Linked DNA regions of Coturnix japonica. Each later gene encodes a partner of the first gene's protein in a complex. Links are inferred from orthologs where the notes say so. Each region holds a gene or a part of one and is shown in the gene's direction. Other genes may lie near its edges.

Region 1 (6,999 bases):
TTTTTCTATACCCAGTAGAATAGTGTCAGGAGCTCCTTCCCCTTTCTATTTGTTGCTATGGGGAGGAAGAGGTGAGGCAAAGCATGCGTGAGAAGAGGGAGGAAGAGTTACAGGATGGTCAGTGCAACAGCTCCCACTCCCTCTTGGAAATATCTGCTTCCAGTTGTGGGATTTCTCTATTGATGACTTTTTCTCTTGTATTTTTTTAAGCCTAGGTTGTTTTTTTGTTGATCTTGTTAGTTCTGTACCAGTCTCCCCGAGACATACTGCAGTCATTATCACCTTTTTGGGTGGAGTTTATTTTTTGGTTTGTTTGGTTTTTGTTTTTTTAAATAACTTTTTAACATTGGTGCATATATGCTTGGGATAGAGCTCATGTAATTTTCCAATCGTATTGATTGTATGTGATTGTGCCCTGCAGAGGTATATTTAACAAAAAATAAAGAGGATAGTCTAGGTAATAAAAGGAGACCATGAGATTTGTTGAGTCAGGTTATGAACTATTTCTTGAACTATTTCTTTAGGCTTTTGGATAAGTGAAATTCCTTGTCTGCTGTTCTCATAAGTCGATGCTAAACAAAGCGTCATTATTCCCATTTGTCAAGCTGGTTCTTTTCTTGCTTTTCTTCTCCCCCTGTTTTTCTTCCTTTCCTGCTTTGCTTCCCCATCGAAGAAATAATAGTTCTGAAGCCTTATGTGGCTGGCTGGCTGTTGGAGTGGTTTTGTGACTATGTGTTGTGTGTAACTGTCGGAACGCTTTCAATAGGAGTAGAGATGGAGTAGAGCATATGAGAAGAATTCCATAAAGTGAATTCTTTGCAAGTTCAGGGGAAGCTGGAAGCCTTGTACACACACTGGGCCTGCAAGGCACCGTGATACCTCTCCTTGAAACATTAGATGCTTTGCTGCCTTTTGGGAAAACCCAGATGACTAAAGGAGTAGAAGAGGTCACTGTGTCTGTCTTTACTCCTGCAATAGACTTGTTATAGTGGGAAGAACAGCCCGCCAGGCATTATGCTGTAGTAGGACAGAGCAGGCTGAAGGAGGCAAAAGGCAAGGAAGGTCCAGAGGTCTGAAAGTCAGTATTTGTTTCTTCCTTAAATTACAGAGCCAACAGTGTCACTTGTATTAAAGAGCAAGGAAGCGGAGACCTATTGTGTGTGCATGATGGTGACATAAAAAAAGCCATATGTTGAAATGCTGTTTCCTTTCCTCTTCTTCACTTTGCTTTTCTCCCTGTTCAAGCTGGCTTGGCCTCACCTTGCTTCCACACAGTGTCTGAGAGTCCTTTGAGTTGCAGATCCAACAAACTCTTGAACCGGTGGAAAGATGGTGATTCACTACTTGGTCTGTAAATAGATGGAAGTGTCTACAAGGTCTTATCTGCTTTTCTGTCAGCATTTATATTAAATGATAAAGTAATGGAGAACACTGAAATATCTCTCATTTTCTGTCTCGGATGAATGTGCATTTCTTTGAACTCTGGGTGCAATGTTCTGATGGTGTGTGGGTTCTCCTTGGGGCTGGGGCATGGGAGATGCTGAGCAGCAGAGAAGTGGCTGCTTCTATGGGCTGTCTGTTCTCTGCCTGCCTGCAAGCTAGGCTGCTCCTTCCAACAAGAAAGGATGCTCAAAATAATGCATTTTGCTAATTGACTGGAGGTCCAGCATGCGGTGAGCACCAAATGCTGTCCCCTCTGCCTTTAGGGCAGTCACACAGCTGGCCTCTCTCACTGGGTCACTTGAGATATTCAGTTCCTATAAAGAGAGTTGTATTTGGTGAGCAATCGTGTGGAAACTGGGTGTTTCTGCAGGCAATGGTTTCCATTCCCATTTTCTGCACTGGTGTGAGGGCTCCAGGATGCTCAGCTACACTTAAAACCAACTTGAACTTCTGTCAAGGTTGGCTGCTAAAAGAGATGTGAATTGCTGCAGTCTGGCTGAAGGAGCCGAATGGGGAGTTTGGGGAAACCTGCCATTTTTTTTCCTCTGGCCTCCTCAGGGATGGCTCTGCCCAGCCATCAGCTCTGGGTTGTTGGTTTGATCTGGACCAGCAATAAATTGCCACTTACCTACTGCACTTAAGATAGGTATTTATCAGCTCTCCCATGGGGTTTGGTTTGGGCAGCTGATGGGTCCCTTTGGCGCTACGCTGGGTTTGGGAATAAATACTTAGAGGAAGTCCCCAGCTTGCCATCTTCTTTCATTTTGCAATTAGCCTTGCCTTTAATAGGGCTATCATGGTAAAGGAGGTGTTCCCATGCTCTGTTCTAGGCATTCTGCCTGCTTGCAGTGAGCTGCAGTGCTGCTGTGCCTCATCACACTGCTGAGACTTAATTCCCACAGCTTGAGCTGTGTGGGATGTGCAGAACACAGTGGGTGCCTGCTCCCATTCCATGTGGCATCGAGCTGCCCCGCAGCACCAGATGAAGAGCCCCTGCTTGGATACAGCACACTTGGCTGGGAGCAGAGAGCATCTGATTCCTTCTGAAGGTCCCAGGGCTGTGAGCACGTCTCACCTCGGCGATTACACCAGCACTGCTGGGAGCACAGTGAGCAGCGCAGCTGAGCCCTTCCTTGCAGCACACAGCTCACCTCCTATGCCCTCCTGCAGTTCTTGGCTGCTTTGCATTGCTGGGTGCTGCTCGGAGGTCACAGTGTGACTTCTGTGCTCACTTTGTCCAAAGACAGCCCTGCTGTAGGATGGGTGAGAGCAAGAACAACATGTGCAAGACTGATGTGTTGGGCACAGCCAGTTTTCAGGTGGTACTTATGGCCGTGGGCTGTAACCCAGCCCTGCTTTGCAGGCCCTCCTCTGCAGCCAAGGACCACAAGTGCTGCTCCTGAGCTTTTTCATGAGTGGCTAATTATTTTATTGGCAAAGAAGGAAGGCACCCAGCGTTTCTAAGGGGTAGGTGGTCAAACTTTCCCTTGTCAGATTGAACTTTAAAACCTCTTTCAAGCCAAACATTGCTTTTTTGTTTTCCTGCTCTTTGTTTAACCTTCTGCAGCGGTCATCAGCCTTTGGCCCCAGCATCCTGCCCCCAACCTGCCTGCTGCTGGAGCACGGGAGCCCAGTGTGGAGCTGCTCTGTGTGTGTGGGTCTTGAGCACTCCTGTCCTCCTGGGGAATCTGCATTTGCATCCAGAACACAGGAGGCTGGAGGCACCAGGCTGGGTAAGAGAAACTATTTCCACTAATGCTTCATTTTTAACTGAACCCACTGCTCCATTTGCCTGTTGAAGGAATTCAGGCTGCTACCAGACTGCAGCTCCTCTTGATCTGGGGCTTCTGCTCACAGCATGGGGAGCTTAAAACATCACAGTTCCCATCAGGGAGCAATTTGTGCCCAGCTCACTGATGGGCTGTGCTTCACCTCATTTCTTTGTGGCATTGCTTCATGCTGTGGTGAGCACCAACCCCCCTGTCCCATGTAGGAACAGCACTGGTCTGGGGGGGGGGGAGCAGGAAGGGTTTTCTGTCCATCCTAATCACATTGAGCTGCTGGGCCCAGAGGAGTGCAGCAGAGATGCACAGATAGCAGGGGTGAATGCAGCCTTTGTTGCAGGACGAACGCAAAGCAGTGGGGGCACACGGGCTGTGCTGGCCACAGCCTGGCTGTGGGATTAGGAGTCCCCACATTTGCATGGAGCCCTCTGGTTTTTAGCTGAATCAGCAACTTGTTCCTTAGTTTTCTGTGCTTCTCACAGGGGTGACTGAAGCAGGACAGCCAAGCCCTTCCCCCTTAGTGTTCTCTTCCCTGCCAGTAACCCTTCCCAGGCAGCCATTTGCTGTAATGCTTTTGGGCTCCCTCCAGCTGATGTGTGGTGTGGACAGTATGAAAGGGAGGCCCCAGGAGCTGCTGGGGGAGCAGGGCAGCTCCCAGCCAGCGGTATGGCATGCAGCCCTGTGGGTCTTGTGTTCCCCTTCTGCTGTGTGCTTGTGCTGGGTATGCTGGGGGGCTGGGTTGGCCCCAGGGAGCTGATATATCAGATTGAAGGGGCTAAGAGCATAAAATCCCACATCCCCTCTAAACGGATGAAATCTGAAGCTGGGACGGGCTGTGGGATGCTCAGCAACCAACCGCAGGGCGTGCAGTGCAGCAGGATGGGGCTGAGAGCCCGGTGACCCTCCTGCAGGAGCTGGTATTGGGAAGAGTGGTGCTTCCTGCAGTGCTCCCACTTCCCTTCCTCCTGCCTGCTGTGGTGCTTTCAGGGTCAGTCTGTTTGACTTCCCACCCCTTTCAGGCTTTGCCTTCTGTGGTGCTGCAGCTGTTCCATGCATCTGTCCTTCACCTTCTTGCAACAGTGTGTTTGCTTTTACCACTCAGACTGGCTGTGTTCTGAGCAAAAACATCTTGTTGTACACGTCCTCTTGCAGTGCTTGCTGCTGCACTAACAGTTTGTGCTGGTGAAGGCCCCCAGGCTCAGTACAGCCCTGGTGCCAAATGAGGTAATTTCTGCTTTCATGGAAGAGCTGCAGCCCAGATGAAGACACAGACTGGTCTGGGTTGGAAGGGACCTCAAAGATCATCCAGCCATTGCATAAGAGTACAGGCAGGGGGTTGTGAAAGAGCCCAGAGCTCCCCACATTGCTCTGTGCTGCCCTGCTGGATGCTGGCAGCTCTGGCGGTCATTAAAAGAAACCTTCCATTTCCGCACTGATGGGGCAGCACAAGGTGACAGCAGCGGTGGGCACATGGAGTCTCACACCCTCCCTGCCCCCAGAGGAGCCATGGGGACATGAGCAAACCCACTGGGAGTCACACAGAGGGCATCTCTGTGCTGCAGTGCTGATCAGCCCTAGGGTGGCCAGTAATGTGCTGCTGGGGCTGGTGGGGATCTACATCCCCTGTTTGAGCTTCCTGCATCAGCAGTTAGAACAGGGCAAGGCTGAGGTGGGCCTGAAATCACAGCTGGAAACTGAAATGGCAGAAGAGCTCAAGGGAAGGAAGGAAACAGAACTGGAGAAGGAGGTTCCCCCAGGAAAAGGGGAAGGAAACCATCTAAAGCACTGTCTGAGGGCTCTCCGCTGCAGGGCTTGGGGCATGGAGTGCTTTCCCAGGAGAGAGAGCAGGGCAGGGTCTGTACAAAGCAAAAACGTGACTGCAGAGCAGAGCGGACTTTGGCAGCTTCCCCATAGAGTGATCAGAGCTTTGATCTATGTGTTTTTGCACCAGTTTGTCAGGGCTGCTTAAAGAAAGGACACCCGTGGCTCTGGGAAAGCACTGTTTTCATTGTGCTGTTTCTAAAAGCAGGGTGTGCTCAGAGCTGTGCTGCTCTGCTGGGGCTGTCCCGGTCCATCCCACAGCTGCACTACAGGAGGGTGATGGGAGAGGGCTGTGATGGTCCCTATACCCCAGTGCTGGCTGGGCTGGGGGCTCTCCGGGCAGGTGGGCGCACACTCAGCACTCCCTCTGTTTCCAGGACAATGCAGCTCTTCCTTGTGTGTCTCTTTGCCCTCTGGGGCATGGCTGCCCCTGTACGCTATGCTGTGGAAGACATTTGCACTGCGAAGCCCCGTGATATCCCAGTGAACCCCATCTGCATCTACCGCAACCCTGAGAAGAAGGCCCAGGAAAGTGAGGTGCTGGAGCCGGGGAAGGGCCGGATCCCGGGGTCCACCAACCCCCGTGTCTGGGAGCTGTCCAGGGCCAACTCGCGCTTTGCCGTCGTCTTCTACAAGCACCTGGCCGATTCCAAGGACAACGAGGAGAACATCTTCCTGTCACCCCTCAGCATTTCCACAGCCTTCGCCATGACCAAGCTCGGGGCGTGCGGTGACACCCTGCAGCAGCTCATGGAGGTTAGTGGCATATCCTCAGCCTTCCCCAGAGCTGCTACTGGGGCCTGAAAGGCTGCGGAGCTGGCAGTGCCAGCGGCTGCTGGGGGCTGCCTGGTCAGGGCAGCAGGCACAGGAGGGGATGCTTTTATTTAAACAGCCCCAGGGTGGGGCATGGGAGGCTGTTTCAGCTCATTCAGCAAGGGGCCAGCAATACCTTGAGGCACACCTTCCCCTGTGGGCAGCCCCTACTGTGGGATGGGAACACTTCTCTCCATGAGCTGTGCTCCTAATGCTCTCTTTTTCCCTGCATGAGGGCTCTTAACACCCCTTTTTGCCCCTCATAGGAAGTGGTGCCACAGATCATGAGCAATTTGCTATGGGATTTTTCTGTGCCTGAAGCCCTGAGATGGATAGGAGCTGACAAATTGGAGCTGTCCTTCCAGCTGACAGCCAGGAACAGATTAGAAATAAATCACTGTGCTGCTGAAATCCACCCTCAAAGCAATTGCCACATACTCCAAAATAGATAATGAGTACCAGAATTACTCAACAGACCATGAGAATTACTCCTGGGAAGGAGCAGCCTTTGGCATTCTCACAGGATTAGAGCAAACCCCTACAGGTCCTGCCATAGCCTGCGCTGACCCAAGAGCTGCATCTGGTCCCATCAATGCCATGCCCACTTGGTGCAGGGCTCTCGCTGGGGAAAGGCCAGGGTGATGTTAATTGGAGTCAGGAGTTGATCCCAATGGTCCTTATGTGTTCCTTCCAATCTGGGATATTCTGTGATTCTAAGGCTGTGCTTCAGGGGGTGAGTGGAGGGCAAGGCCTGCATCACCACTTGCTGTGGGAGCACAGGAGCTTGCTGATGGATTCCTTCTTGCTGTTTGGCCCCTCCAGGTGTTCCAGTTTGACACTATCTCAGAGAAGACATCTGACCAGGTCCACTTCTTCTTTGCCAAGCTCAACTGCCGTCTTTACAAGAAAGCCAACAAGTCATCAGAGCTAATATCAGCAAACCGTCTCTTTGGAGAGAAATCCTTGGTCTTCAATGAGACTTACCAGAACATTAGTGAAATAGTTTATGGAGCCAAACTCTGGCCGTTGAACTTCAAAGTGAGTTTGAACTGCTTTGAGATTCCTGGTTTGTTTGTTCCTAACTCCCTGTCCTGCTTCTGCTGTACCCCCATCCTCTGCTGCAGGGAATGCCATGCTC
Region 2 (7,242 bases), on another chromosome or scaffold:
AAGGATTTTTCACATAAAATAGTGCATTTGGAGACAAGGGAGATTATGAACAGTCCTTTAACAAGATCCTCAAGCCATCAGCCTATTTAACATTATTGATCAGTGCAGCCAGAGAACATTAAGAAAAAAGAAAAAAAAAAGAAAAAAAATCAGATGAAAATGGAAATACCTCTCTTGTTCTGACTGCTCATAAACTTCATTTCTCTTTGCAGAAGAAAGCTTCTCTGAAAGACCAACAGTTCCCAGGCCCGAGGTAATGGCCCTGCTGGGAAGGTGATGTTTCTAGCACAAGCTACCTGCTGCCATTCCCTGTTCTGCTGCATCCTCCAGCCCAACACACCAGCCCCAAAATACACACTACCGATTTTTTGTTGGCAGTTCTTCAAGTCAGGAAGTTCACGTTTCCTTCCAAGAAGGAATCTGCATTTTTCACTCCAACCACAGACATAGAAAATAAGATTTACAACTAACGAGCCAATGAGACCCAAAAGGAGGAGAAACAGGTAGCAATGTACCAATACCCCAGACTCCTCACAGCCTAGGGAGTAGAATCTTAGAAACGTTAAGGTTGGAAAGGAGTGACCCCCAAATCCAACCCCAACCCAAACCACCATGTCCATAAGCACATCCCTCAGTGCCACATCTCCACAGCTGCAGAGCACCCCAAGGGTCGGGCAGCCTATGTCAGTGCCTCCCTCCTCTTTCCGAGAAGTTTTTCCTAACATCCAACCCAAACTTCCCCCTGCTGCAACACCATCTTAAACAAAAACAGCCCCAAATCTAACGCCTCAAATCAGAAGGGACATCTCATAGAAAGCCTCTTCATAGGAAGAAGCACAGCTTGACCGTGCATTTTTTTAATGCTTTTCACTTGAGAGCGCAGAACACCAAATCAAAACAAACCCAGATCAGGTACTTAATTGATGTCATCCACCTAGACAACAAAGCTTTCATCTCCAAAGCGCTCATGGTGGCGATCGCAACTCCAGGGATTTTGGTTTCAAAATAAGTAAAAATAAACACTTAGCTTTCAATTCGGCGCCGCAGAAGTTGACAGGAATAGTAGCAAACAATAGAAATTATTTGCGTTAATAGCCTTGTTTATTCTAATGATGTTGGTGTTTTCTGTGGAGATTAATTAGCCATAATGTTGCGAATGGTATTACACGTGAAATATGCACAATAAACCAAAAGTTATGTGACTGACCTATGTTCTGAAGCAAAATATTTGCAGTAATGAGATTTCAATTATCCTTTGTTATGGCAGGCCATGCTCTACACTCGTCTTTATTGATAGGAGATGTATTGTTTCAGCATTTTAGCTCTATTTATTTTCTCCCATTTGCATTTTCTTATGCACAGAAAGCGAGAGATGATCGTTACCTTCTTCACTTTGCATTCAATTTACATCAGTAGCACATTACCTCATCCAAACTCATTTATCCACCACAGAAATTTGATAACAAAAGCTACAGTCAGTGATGAATAAAGATCATTTCAAGTGGAGCAAGAGGAAACAAGATGAATTATTGGTTTGGGGACCTTTTGTTTCCTCAAGGAAAGAAAAACATAGGAATTTTTTTCTACCTAGGCAGCACAGACCTCACAGAGCTGTAACTCAAAATCAGCATCTTCTATTTACCTACAGCTGATGCTCCTTTCTGCATACAAAAGTAACTCCTTGCAACCATAAATGTCCCTTACACTTGCTGCACAAAGGAACGTTTCTACATTTTTTGACTGCACAGAATTGATGTTTCACAAGCTTGAGCACACACTGCAACAACTACCCGAGGGTTGCTGTAGCCTCAGAGCAACAGAGAGCTCTCCAGCCTGCAAGACACAGCACATCCGGCACAGCACATTGCTTCCCATCAAAGCAGCCAGCCTGTCTGCACTGCAAAACACACCATAGGATTCTCTTGCATCAACAACAGCACAATACCCATCTTGCTTTGACAACTGCACAATATTAATCTTGCTTTACTGGGAACTAGTGAGAGCTGCTGCCTGCTCCTCTTCAGCCCTTGTGCTTTAACAAGTCTCTAGAGCCTGCTGGCCTCCATCACGTGCGGGTGCGATGCTGGACACCAGCTCTGCACTATGCATAGGACAAGCTGCAATCAGAGAAGCAGGTCACTGGTATAAAGCCCACAAGCCCTCTCTAGAGTGGGGTGAATGATGTCAGTTTGCTTTCCCTACAACTCCTCAAGGAAAGAGAGGAGGGGAGAGCTTTGAGTGCATTCATTTCAGCCTTTCTAGAAATTAATGCTTCATTTTTTATTTATTACACAGTACCCAGTATTTGCCCCAAAGAAATCCCTCACCTTCACATTAATGGAAAGTCAGAAGGGAAGAAACATTATTTAAGAGTTATAAGTAACACACCCTTAAGCATTAAAGATTTTGTATAGAAACCTTATTTTTGGTCAGTCTGAAACAGGAGCAATTAGCAAACCCGCAGCCAGAAGTCTGCTCACTCTCTCTGCACCACTTGTAGGGTCATCTCCAACTGAATCTATGCTGGGCCCTCTTGGAAACATGGGCTCTGCTGAAGGCTTTGAAAGCACTGCTATGGATTTTATGCAGCAATCATCTGGATAGGAATGGGCAATCCAGTGCTTTTAAGAGGTTACTGAAGCTGGCTTAAATGTATTCTTGCGCCTTGCTCAACCTGCAAACCTAGCAGCAACATCCTATAGGACATCAGATGACCCCAAAGGCAGCAGCTACCCAATACATTTCTTCAGCATGGATGTGCCCTCTCAAATAACATCCTTGCTGCCACTCCAAGGCTCAGCAATGGCACATCTGGGGACCTTAAATTAAAGGGTTACCCAGAGCAAATAAACAGGAGCTTGCACTTTGGAACTATTGACCGAGCTCCACCACCTGAACAATTTGTTCCTAGGTTTGGGCAGTAGGAAGAAGATGGCAAAAATCCCCCTCATACTCTCCTTTTGTCTCCTGGAAGCTTTTCTCGGTGCCGAAAGTACAGGTGGGTTCATTTTAAAACCTATGAAGTCCTTCGCTCATGGGGGTGGGGGTTACTGGCACACAGAGAGGGTCCATTTGTCAGTTCACAGTGGGACAACCTGTGCTATCTCGTGAGATACAAGGGGTCAGTGGGACCGCAGCATTTCAGAGCTCCTCTATTTGAAGCTCCGGCTCTTTCTTCTGCTTTTATGCTGATTTTTTACACAGAAAGTTTCACAGGGATTAATTTTAAGGATGGGATTTCTCTTGAAGTTGTACAGCTTTCAGTGCTCGATTCAGCCATTTAGAGCACACGCACCCACACACAAAAGGAAAAAGAGGAAACATGTCACTGGAGGAGTGACATCCACAGTCTCGCTTTTTCCTGGAATACAGCACTCACTCCCATAGAACAGTCACTGGGCTTGCCACAGTGGGAAATGTTTAAAGCCAAACCCAGCATGCATTTAACAGACTGTAAGATGCAGCCAAAACTGTAGACACGATAGAGTAGTTGATGGATGTGGGTAATCACACGTAGTAATGCTGGCTGCTGCATGATTGATCTGTAGCAGCAACAGTTCCAGCAGAGGCTGGTTCACTTCCAGTGAGAACTTGGCTGGTGCAAGGCCTTTCTTCTTTTATTAAAACATTGAGAGTAACAGGTAAAACAAGGAAAAAAGTGCTTTTCTAAAGTGTTTGCTTATCAATGGAAAGTGAACAGAGTCACCATCAACCCAGGTGTATTTCCTAGAACATTTAATACTCAGGTGGCAGGATGGGTCTCATCTGCAGCCCAAAGATCCCCTCACTCTTGCAAGTGCTGATGTAGAAGTTGCTAAGCCACACGAGCATATACTTGGTGGGAAGATCATTTCCAGCCAGGGCAAGCACCTTGTGTGTGACCCCTTGGGTTTCTGCCACTTTCAGTTTAAATCAAGTCCTGCCTATAAAGCAGCACGTGAGATTAGTAGACATCAAGAAAGCTGAAATGAGTCTGATGAAGGTGAAGTTTGTTTTCATTAAAATTAGAGCTCTTCATTAAAAGGGTTAATTATGCCCATTGCCTAGCATGCTTCCAGCATTAAGAAATGAAGGAGCAGACCTAACGAAATGCAACCACAATCAGAGGCACGTAACTGTGCCCATGCCTGGTTCCCCAGGCACTAACCTCAAGGAGAACCCAACAGGGCTCAAAACCAACAAAGGCTGCTTCATCTCCTTCAGTTCAAGCTTTTCAGCCCAGCTTGAGTTCATGCCAGATGTTGTGACACATGCTGGAGGGAAGAGGGACTCCTCCAGTGACTTGCATATTCCATATATAAACCCCAGTCTTGCAGATGGGAAGGGATCAGGCAGCCCATGGGAACTGCAGTGTTTAAACCAAGCCAGAGTTCTTCAACCATCAATATCTACTGCCAAACAATTAGATTATCATCGGGATTTTAATGCACTCCCCTTCTTTTTAATGGAAAGCATGAGGAAGGCAGAGGTGCAAGCTTGCTTTATAGTGATTAAAATCATTGCAAAAACAATTAGCATTGCACCTGGCACAGACAGACAGAAATGCTTCTTCCAACCTGGGGAGCAAGGTCAGTGCTGGCTGGGAGAGCACATGTGGTAGCACCACATCACCAAGTGGCCACCATTGAAAGGCTGGTGGCAACATGGGTGCCCCCTTTGGATGTAGGGCCAGCAGTGCTCACACCACTTTGCCTCAATTTCTGTGTTCAAACAAGACGTCTCTAATACGCAGCAGCCTTTGGTTTTCCTTCCTTGAATAGCTTATTCCAGTTTGGGCATCTATCATAAGAGGTATTAACACCACCTGCTAAACTCCCGTGCTCCTAATCACCCTCCTGCCATCAGCCAATTTCACCTATGGACTGCTTTGACTCCAGGTTCCCCAGCTTAGGTTAGTAACTAGATTGCAGTTAAATTAGACACCAGAGAAACCTCAAGTAGGCAATAATGCTTCTAAAACATCACTGACAATGGGGGATGATGAACTCATGAGAAGGACTATTGAGACTGCAGAGCCCTACTGCCCACCCCACGGCTATTCAGCAGCCTGGCTTTCTTTTCTAATTGCAGTCTTCATTGAGAACAAAGAGGCGAGCACAGTTCTGAGCAGGACAAGGCGAGGCAATTCAAACAGACTGGAAGAGTTTATTGCTGGGAACCTCGAGAGAGAATGCATAGAAGAAAAATGCAGCTTCGAAGAAGCCCGAGAAGTGTTTGAGAACACAGAAAAAACAGTGAGTATCCCTGATGCAAAACAGCCAAAACCTTTCCTCTGGGCATCACCTGTATACAGTGCTGGGGTGAAGCACAGAGTGGGGTGGACTGAAGAGCAAGGGGGGTTGGGGAGGTTGCGTGGCACCCATCAACCCTTTGGTTCTCATTCACAATCCATCTATCAGGCTGGGGAACCTCATTAGGGGTTGGGTGCTCACCACTGGGACTACTGAGGTGCTTCCCTTCAAGCTCTTAGCTTTGGAGCCACCCCTTTAAGCCCAGAAAACAGAAACCAATGGAGGTTTGTTTGTTTGTTTTTCCCTTTGCAGATGGAATTCTGGAAAATATACATTGGTAAGAGCTGCTTTCTTCACATTCACACACACAATATTCATCTCTCAGCGCATAAGCAGCAGATGCTTATGGAAAGAAATATTGCTCAGAATTTAGGAATTGTTTCATCACAGAGTCATGTACCCTAAACGCTGTGGTCGCTCAGCCTATGCCCATCCCACCTTTATAAGAAACACAAGGAAAAAAACTACTTAGCCTCTTCTATATAGAAGTAGGGGAGAGGGTTGGAACAAACAGCACAGATGTCACTGAAGATAACAGTTCACACAGACTGCTGCATCCAGTGAGCCCAGGTCACCTTCTGGTTTCAACAGCAGAGCAAGACAGTAAGAGGTAACACCCCTCCAAGTAGTTAACGTTCTGTTCTCAAGCAGAGACTACCAGATTCAGTGCAGGCTCAGTGTGAATCCCTGGAAATGCCACAATAAACAGACCCTCAACACAATCACAGCAAACACCAGTGGTCCCAAAGCTTTGCTTCTCCACCATCTGTTTTATTTTCCAGCATCTATTTCCTCCCTTTCAACTCCAATTTTACCAAAAACATTTTAATGCCCACTAAAAACATCTGAATCAAATTTTAAAGTACATTTTGATAACTGAACTGCTTTGTAGACTGGCAAAGCACCCAGAACATCACACTAAGAAGCCATAAATAATTCAGATTGTTTGGAAGTTATGCAGTCCTGCATTATAGGACTGCCCCCTAAAAAACTGTAATGCAATGGAAAGCACAGCAATGACAACAGAGCAGCAAGGTCCCAGGCTGCAGCAAGCAAGGATTTGCTCAAACACAACAGCCATAGGCACAGAAATAAAGGAAAGAAGCTGCTTACCTTCAGAAGGCCTCAGGTATGCAGAGATCCCCAACTACTATTCCCTCACCTCCACTGCCAACCCCTAGATGAAGTCTGGGGAGGGGTGGATCCTGGCTCCACCCCTTCCAGTCACTTAGGTACATTGCTTGCACCTGAGCTCCCCTGGGCTGGCTCAATCACCAGGTGTTCAATCACTGGTTCAGGCTGTGACTTAGCATTTCCACTACAAAAACCAACTGATGAAATTCAACACTGCATTTATTTCCCTGCCACTAGACACAATTAGCCCCCCCCCAAAAAAAGTCATGAACACCATCTATTCACTATCATCACTGACCTGCCCTACTGCTCAGCTTATGGGAGCTCATTCCTCACACCTGAACGACCAAACCCCACCTGCTTTCCCCAGGTGGCAGCAGCAGTCACCATCCCATACAAACCATCTGTGCCAACACCAGCATCATGCCTTAAGCAAGACAACCCCATTCTGACCTTGTTTGCAAGCTGCCTTCTGCATTCTAGTGCTTTCTTCAAGGCATCATTAATGGCCAGGCTTACAGGTAGGACACAATTGTAGGAAGACATGCCCAGAACCTGCTGAGACATCACGTTATTGAGATTAAAAGAGCAGAACTGATCCAATAGGAGACAGTGTAGATAATTGGGCCTTTGGATTAAGCACTGCTGATGATGTTCCCCCAGAGCTGATGTTGCCTGTTGTGCACTTGTGTGCCACAGCTGAACTTGTTTTCCATCTCAGAGATGGAAGGCACGCAGTCTCCTGCTTGTCTTTAACAGCAGGCTTGCACAGAGCACTTGGCCACCACCAGACGTGGTAGACACTCGTGTTTATTAA

Evidence for each region. Proteins that work in one complex are often made in the same cells at the same time.
Region 2: the proteins of SERPINC1 (region 1) and F9 are in contact, whole or in part, in a crystal structure (PDB 3KCG), measured with the Homo sapiens proteins. The link is inferred for Coturnix japonica from reciprocal best matches to the Homo sapiens genes SERPINC1 and F9. Residues at the interface, in NP_000479.1 of Homo sapiens: Glu264, Asn265, Arg267, Glu269, Met283, Met284, Tyr285, Glu287, Met347, Val349, His351, Val420, Val421, Ile422, Ala423, Gly424, Arg425, Ser426, Leu427, Asn428, Pro429, Asn430, Arg431; in NP_000124.1 of Homo sapiens: Lys247, Val248, Asp249, Ala250, Phe251, Cys252, His267, Cys268, Glu270, Glu285, Tyr312, Arg358, Phe360, Lys362, Gly363, Arg364, Ser365, Leu367, Lys387, Phe388, Asp405, Ser406, Cys407, Gln408, Gly409, Asp410, Ile429, Ser430, Trp431, Gly432.

The regions. Positions count from the first base shown.
Region 1 is NC_029523.1:4,511,069-4,518,067, reverse strand, and holds the start of SERPINC1 (antithrombin-III), read left to right. Parts: upstream 1-3,039; 5' UTR 3,040-3,176; intron 3,177-5,425; 5' UTR 5,426-5,429; coding exon 5,430-5,804; intron 5,805-6,683; coding exon 6,684-6,899; intron 6,900-6,999. UniProt on the Homo sapiens protein: Most important serine protease inhibitor in plasma that regulates the blood coagulation cascade. AT-III inhibits thrombin, matriptase-3/TMPRSS7, as well as factors IXa, Xa and XIa. Its inhibitory activity is greatly enhanced in the presence of heparin.
Region 2 is NC_029519.1:4,844,733-4,851,974, forward strand, and holds the start of F9 (coagulation factor IX), read left to right. Parts: upstream 1-2,871; 5' UTR 2,872-2,931; coding exon 2,932-2,998; intron 2,999-5,070; coding exon 5,071-5,234; intron 5,235-5,543; coding exon 5,544-5,568; intron 5,569-6,404; exon of another isoform or gene 6,405-6,437; intron 6,438-7,242. UniProt on the Homo sapiens protein: Factor IX is a vitamin K-dependent plasma protein that participates in the intrinsic pathway of blood coagulation by converting factor X to its active form in the presence of Ca(2+) ions, phospholipids, and factor VIIIa.